Drosophila melanogaster: one gene and its partners. The protein of the gene in region 1 interacts with the protein of each later gene in a pairwise test. Each region holds a gene or a part of one and is shown in the gene's direction. Other genes may lie near its edges. The genes, in order: HP1e, CG32086, RpS21 and Cen.

The links.
Region 2: the proteins of HP1e (region 1) and CG32086 interact in a two-hybrid assay, tested with the Drosophila melanogaster proteins (one large-scale study listed by BioGRID).
Region 3: the proteins of HP1e (region 1) and RpS21 interact in a two-hybrid assay, tested with the Drosophila melanogaster proteins (one large-scale study listed by BioGRID).
Region 4: the proteins of HP1e (region 1) and Cen interact in a two-hybrid assay, tested with the Drosophila melanogaster proteins (one large-scale study listed by BioGRID).

Annotation. Positions count from the first base shown.
Region 1 is NT_033777.3:9,319,481-9,323,136, forward strand, and holds HP1e (heterochromatin protein 1e), read left to right. Parts: upstream 1-2,289; 5' UTR 2,290-2,345; coding exon 2,346-2,870; 3' UTR 2,871-2,881; downstream 2,882-3,656.
Region 2 is NT_037436.4:11,581,656-11,586,067, reverse strand, and holds CG32086 (uncharacterized protein), read left to right. Parts: upstream 1-2,003; 5' UTR 2,004-2,034; coding exon 2,035-2,558; intron 2,559-2,623; coding exon 2,624-2,800; intron 2,801-2,851; coding exon 2,852-3,626; 3' UTR 3,627-3,667; downstream 3,668-4,412. Other genes in the region: rt (rotated abdomen), read left to right, coding at 1-125, 217-996, 1,056-1,777; CG33269 (uncharacterized protein), read left to right, coding at 3,952-4,218.
Region 3 is NT_033779.5:2,853,712-2,857,837, forward strand, and holds RpS21 (ribosomal protein S21), read left to right. Parts: upstream 1-2,399; 5' UTR 2,400-2,464; intron 2,465-2,511; exon of another isoform or gene 2,512-2,535; 5' UTR 2,536-2,544; coding exon 2,545-2,594; intron 2,595-2,665; coding exon 2,666-2,857; coding exon of another isoform or gene 2,858-2,861; exon of another isoform or gene 2,862-2,919; coding exon 2,920-2,929; 3' UTR 2,930-2,961; exon of another isoform or gene 2,962-3,057; 3' UTR 3,058-3,318; downstream 3,319-4,126. UniProt on the Drosophila melanogaster protein: May be an associated component of the ribosome rather than a core structural subunit. May act as a translation initiation factor. Has a role in regulation of cell proliferation in the hematopoietic organs and the imaginal disks of larva.
Region 4 is NT_033779.5:20,678,421-20,684,143, reverse strand, and holds Cen (centrocortin), read left to right. Parts: upstream 1-2,297; 5' UTR 2,298-2,525; exon of another isoform or gene 2,526-2,610; 5' UTR 2,611-2,651; coding exon 2,652-5,024; 3' UTR 5,025-5,223; downstream 5,224-5,723. Other genes in the region: CG2617 (uncharacterized protein), read right to left, coding at 871-1,695; IKKepsilon (I-kappaB kinase epsilon), read right to left, coding at 5,373-5,723.

The DNA of each region.
Region 1 (3,656 bases):
ATTGGTGAATTTATTTGCATAAGTCATTTAAACGGTAAAACGATAATAAGTAAGAATATATGAACATATTCAGCACGAGATAAAAGTTACAATCAAAATTCATTGCCTACTTATGAGCGCACGAACGAATCTGGCTTTCCATTATGACCGTGTACACCCCAACAGCCTAGCAAGGAAGCTAGGAACTGCAGCTGTGGTCAATGCTGACCCTCGGACTAGAGTCAAAAGAAGACTCAAGCGACACCACCCTCATGACCTCCCTAACCTGGTTTTGACCTAGAAAGTCTTAGTTTTAAAATTCATTAGAATAATCAAATAAATAATAATTACTATGTTATATCAACTATTATAATTCTCCCTAACATTTTTAGGATTAAAAATCTGTTAGTCTTAAGTAACCAAGACACATTGTAAAATAAAATAATTTAAGCAGATCAAATTAAGTTGCCGCATGGGTAACAGTGCGTTGATCAAATAATAAAAACATCAAATATTGGTCTCAAAAAAAAAAAAAAAAAAAAAATTATGACCGTAATACTGTCAAAAACAAGCACACAATAATTATAATGATGATCAAATAAAACTGGAAATTAGCCCAAAGTGTGTTAAGTCAAGCGAGGAATCCGAACAAAGGAACTACAGCCAGCACTGGAGGCAAAAAGTGACAGTAAAATTGGCTCGAAGACAGCGGCTAATGAGCGTGCGATAGGAATAAAGGAGTAGAATGGGGCCAAAAACCCAAGAAACTCAAGTTGGCTAAAAGGCAAAGATATCGCAGTACTAGTCAAATACGAGAATACTGAGAGAGCATTTTGCGATGGGCTTGTGGCAAGACTAAGCGTCTTACTGGCAAATTGGGAACGGGGTAAGAGGAAAAGCCGAAAGCTAAACAAAGACGGCCAACGCAGATGGCAAAAAGGAAAAACTCAATTGCCGCACAAACCGAGCCGCCATTGTTTTCTTAATTGAGTGTCTTTTGCTAGTGTGTCTGTGTGCCAGTATGTTTGCTCATACATATATGGGGTATCTGTGTGCCAGGACACTATGCTCATTGCCGCCTATCTGCCGGCAGAGTTCGCTTATCAATTACATTGAATTTACCCAGGCAGAAATGGCTTTTAGCCATTCTAGGCACCACCCCCTGCAATCAATATTTGCCGGAAGTGATGGCATAGGCAGTCACATTGACTTTTGCGCCGACTGCTCACCTCTCCACTTCCTGTGCTTCCGATTTGACGCTGATTTCACAACTCGCCGCACGGAAATTGCCCGGCCCCCCATTTACGGCTTCAGTAAACAACCGCACCTCACGTTTCTTGACCACCCCTCCACTCCATTTCGATTTTCGAATCTTCACTGTACTGCAGTTGACGAAGGCGCACATTTTATGTATGTATTTGCCGTGAATCTCCAACTCCATCCTACTTCATAAGTCGCCTGATTTATTCCGGCCACGTAGCACTCACTGCACAGTTTGATTGCCACATTCGCATGTAAATGCTGGCCTCTAAAAAGTATTCAAACCAAGCGACCCAATCCCACAAATCTGTCCCACGTCATCGCGCATAATCGAGCTTTTAATTTCGGGTAATAAAACTTTGCCGATTTAATATCAGGTACGTGGCGCCTTCATTCTACAAAAGAAAGCCATAAAATGTGGAACTGACTTCGAGGGAAGCCATAAACTTATGTTTTTCAATGAAGGATAAATAAGAAAAATAACTAGTTGTTACACCTTTCAAATTTTTAAAGCATATTCCCCAATTTATTGTCAAGTGATTCATCAACGATTTCTGTGGCCTGCAAAGTTTGCCTTGAAAGGCAAAAGATTTTGTTCATTAAACAACGTGATACACGAAACCAAACTGAAAAAAACTTTGTTCTACGAGTATTTCAAACTTTTCGCCAAGTTTACGCATAATTTTTTACGATATTTTCCGCAGTTTTTCCTTTTGACGGCTCATCTTATTCTTATTGTTGTTCGAAAGGACTTACCCAGCATCCAGGGATCTCTAATAGATTTCCGGCAAACAATTTTATTCACTTTCTGCTATTGAATTTGGTATTATTAATGCCGCATTTCCTAAGCTGTGGGCATTAAGTATATGGCTAACTTTTCTACTTCAGGATATTAAACGAATTCATTACAATATTTTTCATAATTTTATTTCTTTTGGCAAGAAGATATTAAAGTAGACCAGCATTTAAAAGAAAACTTGTCTGCACAGAAAACTACGTTTTGTTGAGTAGCAACTGTAGATAAAAAGTTACGAAAATGTTTTTCGCTCTGACATTGCTGTCAAAACTCATCAAAAAAATACTATTTGAACATTTAAAAATATAAAATGGATTCAGATGCCGATGGTGGCGAGACCGTTTCGAATTTCTCTGAAAATTCGACGGATTTTGAAGAAACTGAGGAGTATATTGTAGAGAGGATTTTGGATCGAAGGCATTATATGGGCCAATTACAATACTTGGTCAAATGGCTGGATTATAGCGATGAAGATAATACCTGGGAATCGGCAGCAGATCTCGATTGCCATTCACTTATTGATTCGATTGAATCACAAAAAAGTCTGAAGAGGGGTCAAGAGCTGAATAATCAATATGAAACTAAAGCTAAACGACTGAAAATCGATCCATGTCTAGTAGTAGATAGTCCTTTTAATCATGGTTTCACTGCACAAGAGATTCTAAAAGGCGCTAAAAACAATGGTGAAATATCGTTTTTAATTAGGTTTTGGCATCTCGATCAACCACAAGTGGTGCCAAGTGGAATTGCATATGTGGAAATACCGCAGATGGTTCTGAAATTCTATGAAAATCATTGCAATTTTCACGATTATTTAAATAATTATATATCATGACTTGCAATTCTGGATCTTCAAAAAAAAAAAACTTATGAATATGTGTGTGAGCTTCTTATATTTTATATGTTAGGTTAAATTGCTTTACTTTTTATAATAAAAGGTGTCCCTTTGCACAGCATTACAAACAATAATGAAGGCAAAATGCCAAGTTTTAAGTGATTTTTGGGGCGTGTTTGCCCGACAGGCAGCGTAAACACTCTTAATTGCAACAACAGTGCCGGCAAACAAGGGCCAGGAATGTACGACGGCCAAAATGAAGCGAAAATATTTGCATTCCGTTTTTGTGGCCATTCCCTTGTCTCATCGCAAGTACCAAAAGTCGTAAGACCTATTCTCTGTTTTTGGCTGATGGGGCGTGGTGGCCGGACGTACTTTTGCCCTATATATTCGTGTTTGTTTTTCGTCACTTGGGTCCTTTTTTTTGGAGGGGGGGGGGGGGGGCTCTGGTGCTACCCAGTTGCGTCCAGTGGGCACGTAGCCACAATAGCAGCAAAAAGGTTTCGTTTAAGCCTTCTGCACTTTTGCCGAGAATTGATACTGCAATATCCGGTCGAGCAAGTTCAACTCCAATCAATTGCTCTTCGATATTGGTAAGTTTTTGTCGGCGGTAAAAGAAACTAAGACCTATTTGAATTTATAGGCACACGCTTGATTCAACTTTTGTTTTGACGTTATGCTTGCACTGGTGTTCAATACTATTTCTATTCAAAATATTCTTAGATTAAGCTAGATAACTGATCCATGAAACTAGTGAAGCATTTATTCACGCTGTGCTTTTTTAGA
Region 2 (4,412 bases), on another chromosome or scaffold:
GGCAGCTGCCGTCTGTTTGGGAGCCGCCGGAACCGTCAAGTACGTCGGATTCTTGGCACTGGGGCTAGCCTTTTATTTGCTGTGTCGACACCTGTGGCAACTGCTCTACGACGCCGGTCTCACCGGTAAGATACCTTTTTTTCTGAGATTTACAAATACGATTTACGATATAATAATAGAGATTGAATAAATCAAAATAAAACCATTTTTTTCAAGATCGCCAGCTATGGATGCATGCCATAAGTCGCCTGTTAATCTTTGTTGGAATTCCATTGGCGGTCTACTTGGGAGTCTTCTATATCCACTTCAAGACGCTGCACCGGGCTGGACCGCATGATAGCATCATGACTAGCGCGTTTCAGGCCTCGTTAGATGGAGGATTGGCATCGATCACAAAAGGACAGCCATTGGCAGTGGTTCATGGATCCCAAATCACACTACGACACACCCACGGACGCACCTGTTGGCTGCACTCGCATGCAGCTGTCTATCCGGTGCGGTATCCGGACAAGAGAGGCTCCTCCCACCAGCAGCAGGTCACCTGCTACTCCTTCAAGGATGTGAACAACTGGTGGCTGGTTAAGCGACCAACAAAGGAGAACCTGGTGGTGGGTGATGAGCCGGATATCATTCGGCACGGTGAAATTATTCAGTTGGTCCATGGAATTACGAGCCGAGCTCTGAACTCACACGATGTGGCTGCGGCAATGACGCCGCAGTGCCAAGAAGTCAGCTGCTACATAGATTACGAGATCAAAATGGCCGGTGAACTGTTGTGGCGCGTGGAGATTCTGAATCGCGATTCCGAAGGTGACATTTGGCATGCCATCAAGTCGGAGGTCCGCCTCGTTCACGTGTCCACAGAAGCCTCCTTGAAGTTCAGTGGGCGCCAACTTCCCGAATGGGGTTTCAATCAGCACGAGGTGGTGGCGGATCGTGAAAAGGCAATACATGAGGATGCCATTTGGAATGTTGAGGAGCACCGCTATACACAGAGTAAGTCCTCTTCGAGATACTTGAAGAAATACGTTATCCTCATTTACAACCCTTTATAGCTGAGGATCATCGGGAGCGAGAGCGCCAGATGCTAACTGCCGAGATGATACCCACAAAGCGGACGCGCATCTCGTTCTGGGCCAAGCTACTGGAGCTACAATCCAAGATGCTGTTCCAAACGAAGTCAGTGCCAAATCACATGTACAGCTCGATGCCGCACGAGTGGCCGCTAATGGACAAGGGCATCGCTTATTGGTTGGACTCACAGTCGAGTGCGCAGATCTATTTGCTGGGAAACATACTACTCTGGTACACAGCCACCATGGGAATACTTGTCTATGCCGGATTACTCGCCTTCTACGCGATGCGGCGGCAACGTCTTTGCTTTGATATTTCGGAGCAAGAGTGGCAGCGATTCGTATTAGCTGGTGACACCTTTTTTATGGGCTACGTGATGCACTATATTCCGTATTTTTGTGTGGATCGTACACTCTTCCTGCACAATTACTTGCCAGCCTTTGTGTTTAAGTTACTTTTATTGTGCTTTGTCGTGGAGCATTTGGACTATCTGCTCAGGCGCTTCTGCACCGGACGTGGTGTCCATCTGGTGCGCCTTTATCGCCTCATGCTAATCCTGTGGCTGGTGGGCGTGCTTAGCATTTTCTCAAAGTTTATACCATTCAGTTATGGTGCGAGAAAAATGACTTTAAATGAGGTTCGCAGTCTTCGATGGAAGGATACCTGGGACTTTGTCCTGCACAAGAACCACCACCTGTACTGAAAAAACAGATGCCATCTCCGCGGCCAGAGAGAGACGTGCAATGATGTACTAGTACCATGTACAATAGACTAGACGACTAGCTAAAGTTGAACTAATACTAAGCCATAAATTATTTGACATGTAAACATACTCATTTACAAGACCAATAAATACAATTATTTATTTATTTAAGATGTTCTGCTTTATCACTCAGTAATATGTATAAGCACTCTGAAAACACTTGAACCCACACTATATACATAAATACACTCATAAACATGGCCAATAAGGGACACTTTATAGACAGAAATGCAAATATACCGACTGCAGGATTGTCCACCAGTGGATTAGATGGAGCGGAAGGTGTAAAAGTTTGTCTTAGTATTAGCAATCCAGAAGAATTGGCTGAGAGTCTAGTTAGGCGCAATTACGGGCAGATCAATAAAAAATCCCAGAAGTTCCCAGCCGGTTCCGTTCAACCCAGCAGCAGCATCCGGGATTTGCTCACCAGCGAGTTGCAAAAGTCGCGCTTTATGTCCTTCAAGGAGAAGTTCTACGAGGAAATGTACTTCAAAAAGGCCACTTTGGGTGGGGTCAAGAAAACGTACTCCAAACCGGAAGACGTGACCAATATAAGCCAAACCTTCGGAAGTCCATCGAGTCAATCACAAAATGAATGTCTCTACGACGTCATATTGCCGGCCAAGTCGGCGGAGCAAGTTAATAAGGAGTACGAGGCTTTCCACGACAAGTACATCATCAGCCACAATCACTACTTTCCTTCGGAGCAGGTTAACCGCAGGTCAAGCTATTGGTCACTACAAATGCAATGGTGCATATTTAATGAACGTCTTAAATATTTTTTAGATATGCCCAACCATTTGATCGAAAATCACCTTGTGGAGATATACATACTCACGGCGATTTTGGACTGAAAGTGAAGCGATGTCTGGAGGAAGGTGAGAACCACCTGAAGGTTATTGGCAAGGCGCAAGTGGACTTTATGGATCGAAACGAGGCACCCCTCGGAATGCGAAACAAAAAGTAAGTATAGATAGATATAGATTTTGATTAATAGTTTTAGACTGTCTGTAGGTACACTTTTGCGGTGCCCGACATAACTTTCGGTGTTCCTCTGCGCAGCAATGGCGATGTGAAGATGCTGCTAAATAATATTGAACCCTGCTACAAAACCAACCGGCTACTAGATGCCATACGCTATTTGAACAAAAAACGTCATAGTTTGAGGAACCAGCTGGAATTTCACAAGTACGCACTAAATTCAGTGCTGGAGAGGAGTGACACGGATGGAACGGGTCACTTGCCACTGGCACGCATCTTGGAAATTTTCAGAAGTTTTCACATCCGTCTGGATGCGCAAAAAATCCGTCTGGCCTTGTCCAATTTTCGGCTGATTGTGGACGAGGGCTGTGCCACGGAGCGGGTGAATTATGTAGATTTCTTTCGACTTCTCTCGATTCAGAATTCTCTGCCGAAAACGGGAAACTTGACCAATGTATCCGATGTTAGTTGTCTGGACACCACATATCGTTTGCTCTGCGCCGATCTTCAAAACAAGTCAAAGGATAATACGGGAGCAATTAGCCAGAATCTCGAAGGGAATAAAACAACTGCCAAGGATCTTATAACACCGGATTTGGCCATTTTACGTGGCCTTACTCACAGTGATTTCACCTGTTTGCGGCCCAAAGCGGAAATCGAACGTATCTTTAGAAGTCTCGTAACAACTGATAAATTCGAAGCTATTTGGCAGAGTCTAATGACTAAGTTCAAGGACCAAAATGAAATGGCATCCGTCACGCAGTTTCGTACTGAAATGCACAACAAAATAGAGGCCATATCTACATAATACTTAGACAATTTACCATGACAAACAAATATATAATAAACAAAAATAAACTATAGCATAAGTTTGGGCTGTCATTTGTGTGAAGCAAATATTTGCTACAGCATTAAACTTTCAAAGCTGGTGTCTTACGACCAAATATTTAAATTTCTGTGATCAGTTAGGAAATCAAATTAATACTAGTTTTCTAAATCCGGAAATTACTGGAGAACTATAAATGGGGTGACTTCAACATCAGTTGATCACAACAGCCCTTCGCCGCTTTTAAGCCAAGTCTAATATCAATTGCTTTGCCAGCTAACCAACATAACCAACAATAACATCAAAGATGAAATACCTGTTCGTGGTTGCCCTTATTGCCCTGGCCATCCAGGTGGCTTCATCTTCTAGTAATACAACAACAACTGATGCCACCACCACAACAACAACCACCACTGCAGCATCGACCACAACAACAACAACGGCCGCTTCCACTCACAAAAAGCTTTGTTGGAGGGGCAACAACTGGTGCCACACCCGCATTCCCAAGCGGAAGTGCAAGAACCCAAAGAGGTGCCACAAGACCATCGTGATTGTGACCCACAGGAAAAATTAAGCTGCACTAGTAGTTTTTGAAATAAAGAAATTCTTTTTAAAAGAATTTTGCCTAATATTTTCATTTTATCTATAAAATTATTTTAAGTAGTATTTGTACCCTTAACTCATAACGCATAGTAAATGGGTATGCAATGTGTGTTTAAAAGTAGGTAACACTTAAAAAGTTTTCGATCCTATTGTATTGTACACATA
Region 3 (4,126 bases), on another chromosome or scaffold:
TAGTGCCAAAATGGTAGGAGAGTGAGAAGTTGTAATCTCATCGGGAGGAGTGTCTCGCAAAAGACTGCCCAATCTAAGTTCTGGTGAAAGGTTTAAATTTTAGTCGAAGTTCGGAGTTATCTTATTTTCTGTCAGTTTAGACAGCCACATAAACATTTAGCTAAGCGCTGCAAGACCAATTTAATAATTCATGGAGGGGCAAATTGAATTCCCTTCTATCGATAAGGCTCCCTTAAAGCCAAATGCCTTTTAAGGGGCCATAAAAATCATCAGTGTTTGAAGAGGTTCTCTATATTGCACATGAATGCCATTAATTTGATAAGGTTCACAACTTTGTTGCCCTTCAAATGAATTCCCTTTTCTTGAAAGTAAAGGCTTTGTCTAGATTATTGCAACTCATGCGATTTCCCCTATTGCAAGAGAACAACAATTACTAACTTTTTTGCATGCTGTAATTTCTCCGTTGTTAATAGGAACTCCCCCTGGAAATTGACAGGCGGCATCTCAGATCGCAGCTGACTTGGCTCAATCAACACGCAACAAGCCAGTCACAAAGTGAAGCATTTTCATTTTCTTTTTCATTTTCTGGTCTCTTACTTTGTGGGTACACTGCTTTATTAATTGCATTTTATGCAGCCGCATTTTTTTTTCTGATTTTCATCTACGCTTCTTGCCTTTTTTATGAGCATCATGGTGATGTTTCCCTTGTGCCTTTCAACTTTTGACCTAGAAAGTGTTTTAGTTTTTCGGACTTTCCTCATGCGGCTTTTCATCATCATCGTCTTTCTGGCCAGGCACGCAATGTGTGCTGCTGCTGACAACATGAGTTCAGAGTTTTCTTAGCCTGAGTACGACTCTTAATTGCCCTATTCACATAATTACATTGTGAATGTATCTCAAATATACGGCCGAAACGAAAATTCCGTTAAAGACGGCTTAGCTGAATAAAAGGTATAGTTCCGAAACATTTTAGCACCTTTAGAGCTTATAATATCTGTAGTAATTTTCTTACCAACTTTGTACGCTAAGTTTGTTACAGATAAGCCAGCAAACTGATAAAATATCCGTAATATGCGATACCTCTTATGGTACACGGTTATATCTACTGATTAGATTGTTTTGGCAGCCACTTGTTATTTTGTTTGATTTTAATGATCAATAGCTTTTTTGAAGTCTGGTCACTTTGGGTGGACTTTAACATAATTTATCTAATGTATTTTGTAAGCACCATGATTAGTTTCACTTTCATTTCGTTTCATTTACTATATTGCCACTTTATTACGGGTCTCGGGATCTTTGCTTTCTTGTTTAGGTGCTTATAAATAGCATCTCACGTTATCATGATCTCATTTTATTTCATTTTATCTTTTTGCTCTCGGCTGTACTGGGCTGGTGGCAAACATATTATGCAAAAATATCATAATTTGCACACACAAAAGGTCAACAAGCAGCATAACCACTTGTGAAATCTCACCTCAAGAAGTTTCAGTCGAAAAAACACAACTAACAACAATAAGGCAAAAGTCACGCCGTTTGGGATTTTTGAAATCGAGCGACGCGAAGCGAACCGATTGCTTCCAAAGTTGGCGTCCAACTGAAAAAGCTAAGTCCGAACTCACAATGAAATGCGATCAGAGAGTTCATTGAGTGAGCGACGCCTATAAATAGGCAACGTGGACTGCGAATTCCGCGACATGGCGCGCGATGAAAACAATGCCGCCCACTTGGGGCGCCCCAACAGCCGCACAAACACACGCGAAGTGGCAATAAAAAGTGGGGGTCCGCATCCATTGACGAAAATCGCTGCTGACATCGAGCGAGGTCAAAGGGCAGTCGCGCTGAACGCCCATCCAGCGAAAACAAAATCACAGACTGACTGACTGGCTGTTGCAAAATCAATACTCACATGCTAAATAAGTAAGTCCGTGCAGTTGGGAGCTTGCGAATAATATATATTGAGCCACTCTAATGGGAGCCATTTACTTGATGCGCCCCTAAATATGCAATAGAATTTTCCCGACGCGAAATCTGCAGCCTTCGCTCAGGCCTTCGAAAGTGTGACCAGTCGCTGCTGGAACATGTATCTAATATGTCATTCATTAGATTTTGGTATTTTCCACTAATGCGGGAAAATATATATTTAAATCTATTGATATTTACTTACAAAACCAAGTGAAATTTTTTTTTAATTATCATTTAATTTTAAAATACATTTTGGTGCATAACCAAAATTGAAACATGCCTATTCATTAAAGGGGAATGGAAATATCTTGCAAAAATGTACAATTAAATAAATACCAAAACCTTTGCCAGCTGGTCACCCCAAAACCAGCTGGTACGCAAAACTTCCGACAGGGGGCGCCACGCGCAGCGCAGCCAACTTCACGTCCAGCTGTCATTTCTTTCTCTTTTTCGCCTTCACCGACGAGTTGCGGTCGCTAGATTTGTAAATTTCTACAAAAAAGTGAGTAAACCAGCAGTGGCCGCCACTAAAACTGAATAAAAAGCAAGCTAATTGTGTCCCTTACCTTTCAGCCCAATAAAATGGAGAACGACGCCGGTGAGAATGTTGATCTGTACGTGCCCCGCAAATGGTAAGTGAAACACGTGTTCCCCGCACAATTTGCCGAATGGATTACTGACCAGCCGATACCCTTCCCTGCAGCTCGGCGTCCAACAGGATCATCCACGCCAAGGATCACGCCTCCGTGCAGCTGAGCATCGTGGATGTGGACCCCGAGACCGGTCGCCAGACCGACGGTTCCAAGACCTACGCCATCTGCGGCGAGATCCGTCGCATGGGCGAGTCCGACGACTGCATCGTGCGTCTGGCCAAGAAGGACGGCATCATTACCAAGTGAGTTTGTGCTAGAATCCCCGGGATGGACATCCACTAATCGCGCATTTTTCGCCTTGCAGGAACTTCTAAGCGTGGCGTACCCATAGCTAGATTTTGATTTGGTAATAAAGCGATTTCCCTTTGTAATTTAACGTATAACGTTCGAAATTGTTTTATTTACTTCTGGCATAAACAATGGAATCATTTTTCGGTGGCAGTTAGAACCAGGATTAGCTCAAAGCAAAGCATAACTAAGATGCTTAGTGTGTGGAGTAATTATTCTGACTTCCAATAAGACTTTTCAGCCACTAAGAATTTACGGGTGCTTTCAGGAACCAATTAATTTGATATTTGAATAAGTTCGCCTATGGGAATTCTAGTGTTCTATATCCAAAATAGCATATGCTTTGTATTACGATTATAAACAAACAGCAATCCTTTGTCAAAACAGAATATGAAATATATAACTCTTCGTCCGCAAAAAGTATAAACAAATTTTGAATTTATTGCATAGTATGACCGTTAGTCGAAACAGATAGTTCCTACTTTGTGGATGCGAATTTTTGAGAATGCATAGGTAATCGATAGTGCAATCGATGCTTGGCCATCTCTAGTTCAGCAAACGCGGTCACACTGCAAGTTCAGAGCTCGAGTGATTTTCATCGCGTCGCGAAACGAAAAAAAGTTATATATATATTAAATTTGCGAGGCATAACAACCATTTACCCATTCCTGGGGGCCAAATGTGACGGTGCTGTTGTAGTTGTAGTAGTTTAGGGTACAAGCAGTCGGTTGGTACCACAACAACATAACGAAAACGGAATCCAATTGGAAACGGAAACTGCGCGTCCTTTAAAATATGTGACAAAGAACAACAAAGAGGCAACAAATTGTTAAGCAACTTGCTCAGTTACAAGAATATATAAATGTGATGCAATAGCATAACCATTTCCACACGGACGCCACAGCAACTTGGACAGTATTAGGCAGACTTCGTAACTAGCATATTTTCGCAAACAGTACATGGTGAGTAGTTCCTTACCTTATAGAGCATTACGTACTAATGTACATATGCATGTACGTATGTACATTCATGTGCACCCCAAACAAAAGCATAATAATCCCCTTACTTTTCGCCGTATTTTCCATTCTCGCGTTGTCGCGTGCTGAATTCCTGACTCACTAACGAGCCGTTCCAGGTGCACGGTCCTCAGTGATAATCATAAGTACCATAATGGCGAAAAAACCTATTTCCATTTACATTAGCTGAAGAATCATTAGGTCTTA
Region 4 (5,723 bases), on another chromosome or scaffold:
AACATACATATATATTTTACTATGTAACGGATAGAATTAAGCTAGATGCAGCGCATAAAGCTTTATACAACAAATTGAAAAGCAACAGAAGAAATTGGCACAAATTAAATTTATATAGCATAATTAGACGTCCTTCGCAAGATAATGTTATTCGTAATAAGAGCGTCAATCGGTACATCGGGCGCTATTTCCCACTACACCCCCAACCACACAATAGATAACCTAAGCTATGTATGTACATTAGCTATGTATATCCAGCCCACTTATGCGCCTACTACTAGAAATGCAGAAAGCAGAAAGAGAGGTGAAACCTATAGACGCTATCACAAATGTCTATCTGATAGACATCGGTACTACCAATGCTATATTGCCAGTTGTGTAATTTACTCTTATTTGATCGTTTCATTTACCAGTTAAGAACCCAAATCATATAAGTGTTATGATGGAAGAACTATAACTTGCAATTCAATTAACTCTGCAATACGATAACAAGCAAAGCGAATCATTTCATTTCGATTTAATCTTTAATTATATATACTTAAACGATGTAAGCCCAAAACAAACGTTTTTTCTATATCTGTCTTTTGAGCAAATTAGTTATACGCAAAACCAAACCGTATTTACATAAATGTATACAAAACAAATCGTATATTTTCATTGGTTTGAAATAAATACATAAAACAATTTAACTTGTTTTACTTGATATTTTAGGTGTCTGGGAATTGAAAGCTGCATTAAAATGTTTTGTCTGTTCTGCTTTGTAAAGATTATTTGTTTTTTCTATTACAAGTGTCTTAACCAAAGACATTTGGTTAACTTCTGAGAATCATAATTACTTATAAGTTAAATTCCAATTGGCAGTCTTATATATCAAACGTAAACTGACAGGAACGACGTAATGTTGTGCCTGCAGACAGGACAGCGGTCTTCTAAAAGGAGCACGAGCTGCAGGGAGCACTCTTTGCAGAGGCAGAGGTGCCGGCATGGCATGACTACTACGTTCCTGCTTTGAGCCATGCACACGACACAGCGTTCTGGACTCGCGGATCCTGCGTTCTCTGACACATACCAAACATTGTGTATGAAGTGTTGCAATTTATGATGGGTCCATAGGTAAACGCTTTGCGTCTTCGTCGAGATTTCAATGCGTCCACGTTGCAGCAGGTAGATGAGCATCAGGTACACATAGCGGCGGAACATATAGAGAACGAGGAGCAGGGCCAATCCTATCGAGGCCCGGAACGCACTGTTCAGCAAGCTCAAGCCATGGGCCACGATTGAGTGCACCACAAAGTCTAGGAGGCAGTCCCAGAGGAATAGTATGGCCCTCGGCAGCAGCATCAGCAGCCACAAGATGCCATCACCCAGATCGATGAGTAAGTTGCAGATGAATCGGGATATGCAGTGACCAAAATCGAGTACATTCTTGAGCCCGCCTTTGGTGCCGCCGTAGAAGTAGTCCGCCACATCTAGCGTGATGAGGCCCAAGTCGCGGATGCCCTCGTTGATATTCCTGACCGCGCATCTCAACAGATTCCATCCTTTCCTGCTGCCCTCCACCAAACAGAAGCCGACGAGGTAGCTGCCCCACAGGAAGTAGTACACGCCAGTAATCACTGCATCAATCACGCTGGCCAGCGGACGCAGCAGGACCAGATCCACAAGCTCCGCTGCCCGAATTAGAGCGTCCAGCATGGCGGGGGGCTCATACTGTCCTCGAATTAAGAAAAGGAAGAAACACAAAATCAAAACAAGAACGCCGGCCGCTTAGTGTGACCAGGCGGTGGTTGGTAATTAAAGCCAAGCTATCGTTGCGATAAGGTAGCGTCAAATAATTACTTATCTTAAATATTTGTATAATTAATATATATATTTATTTTTAACACCCCACACATTATCGGTTGCACTTCCTAGATATATTTAAACTTAGATGGTATCTGAACTTTAAATACGCCAAATTCTAGGGTAACTTAAATTAATAATGTTCAAACAAATATTTTGCTTCTGTGAGCAAAGGAATTACTAAGGAGACATAACAATTTGGATTTATTAATTTTGACAACTATAAATATGCGTAATAATTAATATGGGTATTCATGTACTGATCTATTATGATATTGCATGCTTCTTTCAAAGACAATGAAAGCTCAAAAATATAATTATACATCCGTGCATTTTGCTGGTATTTCAGAATCCAACAAGGTTTCCCCAAACAACTCGCGAGGGGTTATATAAGAAAGGCGAGCTTAAATCATAGCCCTATCTGAGCAGGAATCCCCCTAATGCGAATAATCCTATTATAAATTTATTTCCGGTTCTGCTAGGAAGTTCATTTCGGTTCTTTGTCTGCAGGTCGATTGTGTATAATAAAAAGCATTAATTAACTATTCGTACATGCAGTTGCGCCCTAGTACGTAGGGCTTTTTCTGCACTCGCTGCAATACCATACTTTTTGTTTTTGGGGATGAAACAGTAAAAAAGTTACTGTTGTAGCAGTTTTCCACCATTGAGAGGACATTTGCCAAGTAATTACTGTTTGAGTTTTGCTTTGCTCACAAAGCTCTGCTGCTAAATGAACTAAAATCGATTAAATCTTTAAATTTTCGCCAGAGTTCGCATCAAGCCCAAGCTTAGAAAGGTCCAAGTCCAAGATGGAGGAATCCAATCACGGTTCGGCTGGCTGTGAAAACGTATCGCAGTTCATGCTCGATGACCTACAATTGGCAGCAGAGCTGGGAAAAACGCTCCTGGAACGCAATAAGGAGCTGGAAACCTTCATCAAGGAGTACAAGATTAAGGGGGATGAGCAGGAACTGGAGATCTTGCATCTGCGCAAGCACATTAATGCGATGACCGAGGTGAATGATTCACGGCTTAAGGTCTACGAGCAGCTGGAAGTGGGCATTCAGGATCTGGAGCGTGCCAATCAGCGGCTAAATCTGGAGAAGAATCGGGACAAGAAGCAGATTAAGACGCTGACCACCAACACGGAAGTCCTGGAAGCCCGCTGCGAGGAACTGAGTCAACTTCTGAGCGATGCTCGGCAATCCCTGAGCACCGAGCGGCGGAAGGTGGATCAGTACCAGCAGGAACGCTATAGGATGCAGCATTCGACCGAGGGTTCTGTGTCCAGTCACAGCATTCAATCGCTGTGCAAGGAGCAGAGTGTTGAGTTCTCCAAACTAGATGTTATGGCCATAGCGAACTCGACAGGATTGGAGGATATCTCCTTCAGTAATGCCACCATGTGCGAGAGGACCGCCGTTAAGGGTGAAGACAACGAGGAATTGGTAAAGCTGCTCAGCGAAATGGAGGTGTTAAAACGTGACTTCTTGGCCGAACAGCAGCGGTGCACCGAGCTGGAGGAGCAGTTGGTGACCATAATCCAAGACAACCAAGGTCTGCAGACACGTCTGCTGGAGAACAGTGCCAATGAGGGAACAATGTCGATGCACGAGGAGTTCAGCCTCCTGGACGACGTGAGACAAGGCCAAATGTGTAGTCGCTGCCTGAGGGATATTAACGAAAGCAACACCAATATGGATGATCAATCCTCCATTGCCCCAACCGAAGAAATCTACGAAGATGACGATCGCAGCATACTAAGCGAAAGCACCTCGAAATGCGATAATAGTGGTGCGGATTATAAGGAACGCTTCCGGATTCCCGAGGACCTCAATCCCAACTCTAGCGACAAACCAAATCCTTATCGGGACCTAGTCGAGAAATATGAAGCTCTGGTGGAGGTGAAGAGAACCTCGAATGCGGTCAAGAGCAACTTCACCAGCAATCCAGATGGGAAGACCATGACCGAGTCCAGTCAAGGCAAAAAATCAGAAACAATTGTTAACAGCTCAAAGGAATCTGACCTTATGTTGGATTCAACACGTAAGCGCACTCCAACCGAGTTTTCGGAATCAGAAACTACATCGTCGGGATTCTCGGATGAAACTAGCAACAAGTCTACGCAAACTGACGAGCGACCGAGTTACTTCCTTTGCTCAATAAGTAATGGAAACGATTGTAAATTCAGTATTTATGACGACGTCAGCCCCATTGAATCTCATTTCCGTAATCGCCCGGAGTACAGGGAACTCTTCAAGGAGATATTTGGAGTGCTCAAGAAGGCAGCTGATAATAACGAAGAAGACAAGCTTCCGTCCCTGCATGACGACGCACAGATTACAGAAAAATTACCCTTGGTGGCGGCCAAAGTACCCCCGGTAACACCCGAGAGGGAGGAATCTCCAGATGACTTCATTGACGACACACAGAGCGTCGTATCCTCAGTTATATCCAACCAGTCCATTGCAATGTCCGAGTGCGTTACCAAACTGGAGCGGAAGACAGCCAAAAAACACATCTTTGATGTCCGAAACCAACAAAACCAATCGTCCCTAACGCAATCCACTTTGTTAAACAGCTCCTCGAAGGAAACAACTGTCGGCGAACCGAATTATAAACCCATAAGGGAGAATGGCCAGATACTTACTCCACTCAAGCGCGAACCACTCGAATATCTAACCGTAGGTGTCGGAATCAAGAAGAAGAACCGACGAAAGCACCGAAACCAAAGCTCATCTGGAGATCGCATCGAATTGTTTAACTCCCGGGAATTTACTCCCAGGAACAGTCCTCTGGCCATGAACAACCGTGGTGGTGGACAAGGGAGCTCAAAGATGTGTACGGATACATTGAATGCTGAATTCGGACGCAGTAACCGCAGACGGACAACTCCATCCTCAAGCAACTGGAATGGCTCTCCCATGGTGATCTATAACAAGAATATGAATACTCCCCAAACTTCTCGGGGCCGAGTAATAGAGCTCAATGGCGTCGAGTTTTATCATAACACGGTATCGCAAGACTTACATAAACTTAAAAAGTTAGACTTATCCTACGCCGAAGTTTTGCGCCGGGCCGATGCCGGCGAACATGGACCCACAAGATCACATTCCCAGCGACAGCAACACAACGGAGCCAACATTCGCAAGAGTCATCATCATCAGTTTCGTCAAAAGTAAACTTGTTTAGAGAATGTAAATAAGCAATTAAACAGTGCATTCTAGCCATAGGGCATTCTACCATTTTTAAATTGTGTGTGCCATGCAGTCTAGTCCGCTTTTTCATGTATAGACAGTTAAATAACAATAACTAAATAACTATAATCGGAAATTTAATTTTATTTCAGCATGATAAAATAAATAATTTAATGACCTACAGAAATCTTACTCTTTCACGATATTCAGCCAAGTTTCAATAGGAATATATGTAGTTGCTTTACAAATTCAGATATAAAAAAGTAAACATTTATTGTTAACTTACAAAGTAAAGGCAAATAAAATATTCTTGCACTTTCATGATATGCCCGTCTAACTACTTTCCAGACTTCCGTTGGTAATGCCCAGTTTGCTAAGCAAACTTATTATATCGCTGTTCGTTCTCATGACAGCCATAACTTCCTGTTGCTGCTGCTGCATGACCCTTAGCCGATTCCGCTCCTCTATCTTGGCCAGCTGATTATTGTTGTTTATGGTCTTTGTGTCCACATCCAGCTTCAGCTCCGACTTAACGTGATACAACTCATCGCGTATTCCGTTCAACTTTCTTTCGCAATCGCGCACGTCCTTCTCCAAAATTTGAGTTTTAAGGTAGACGGTCTGAGCCAACTTATACCAGTCCGCCAGGCACTCTGCGATTTGTGCCACTGTCGGATTTACGTT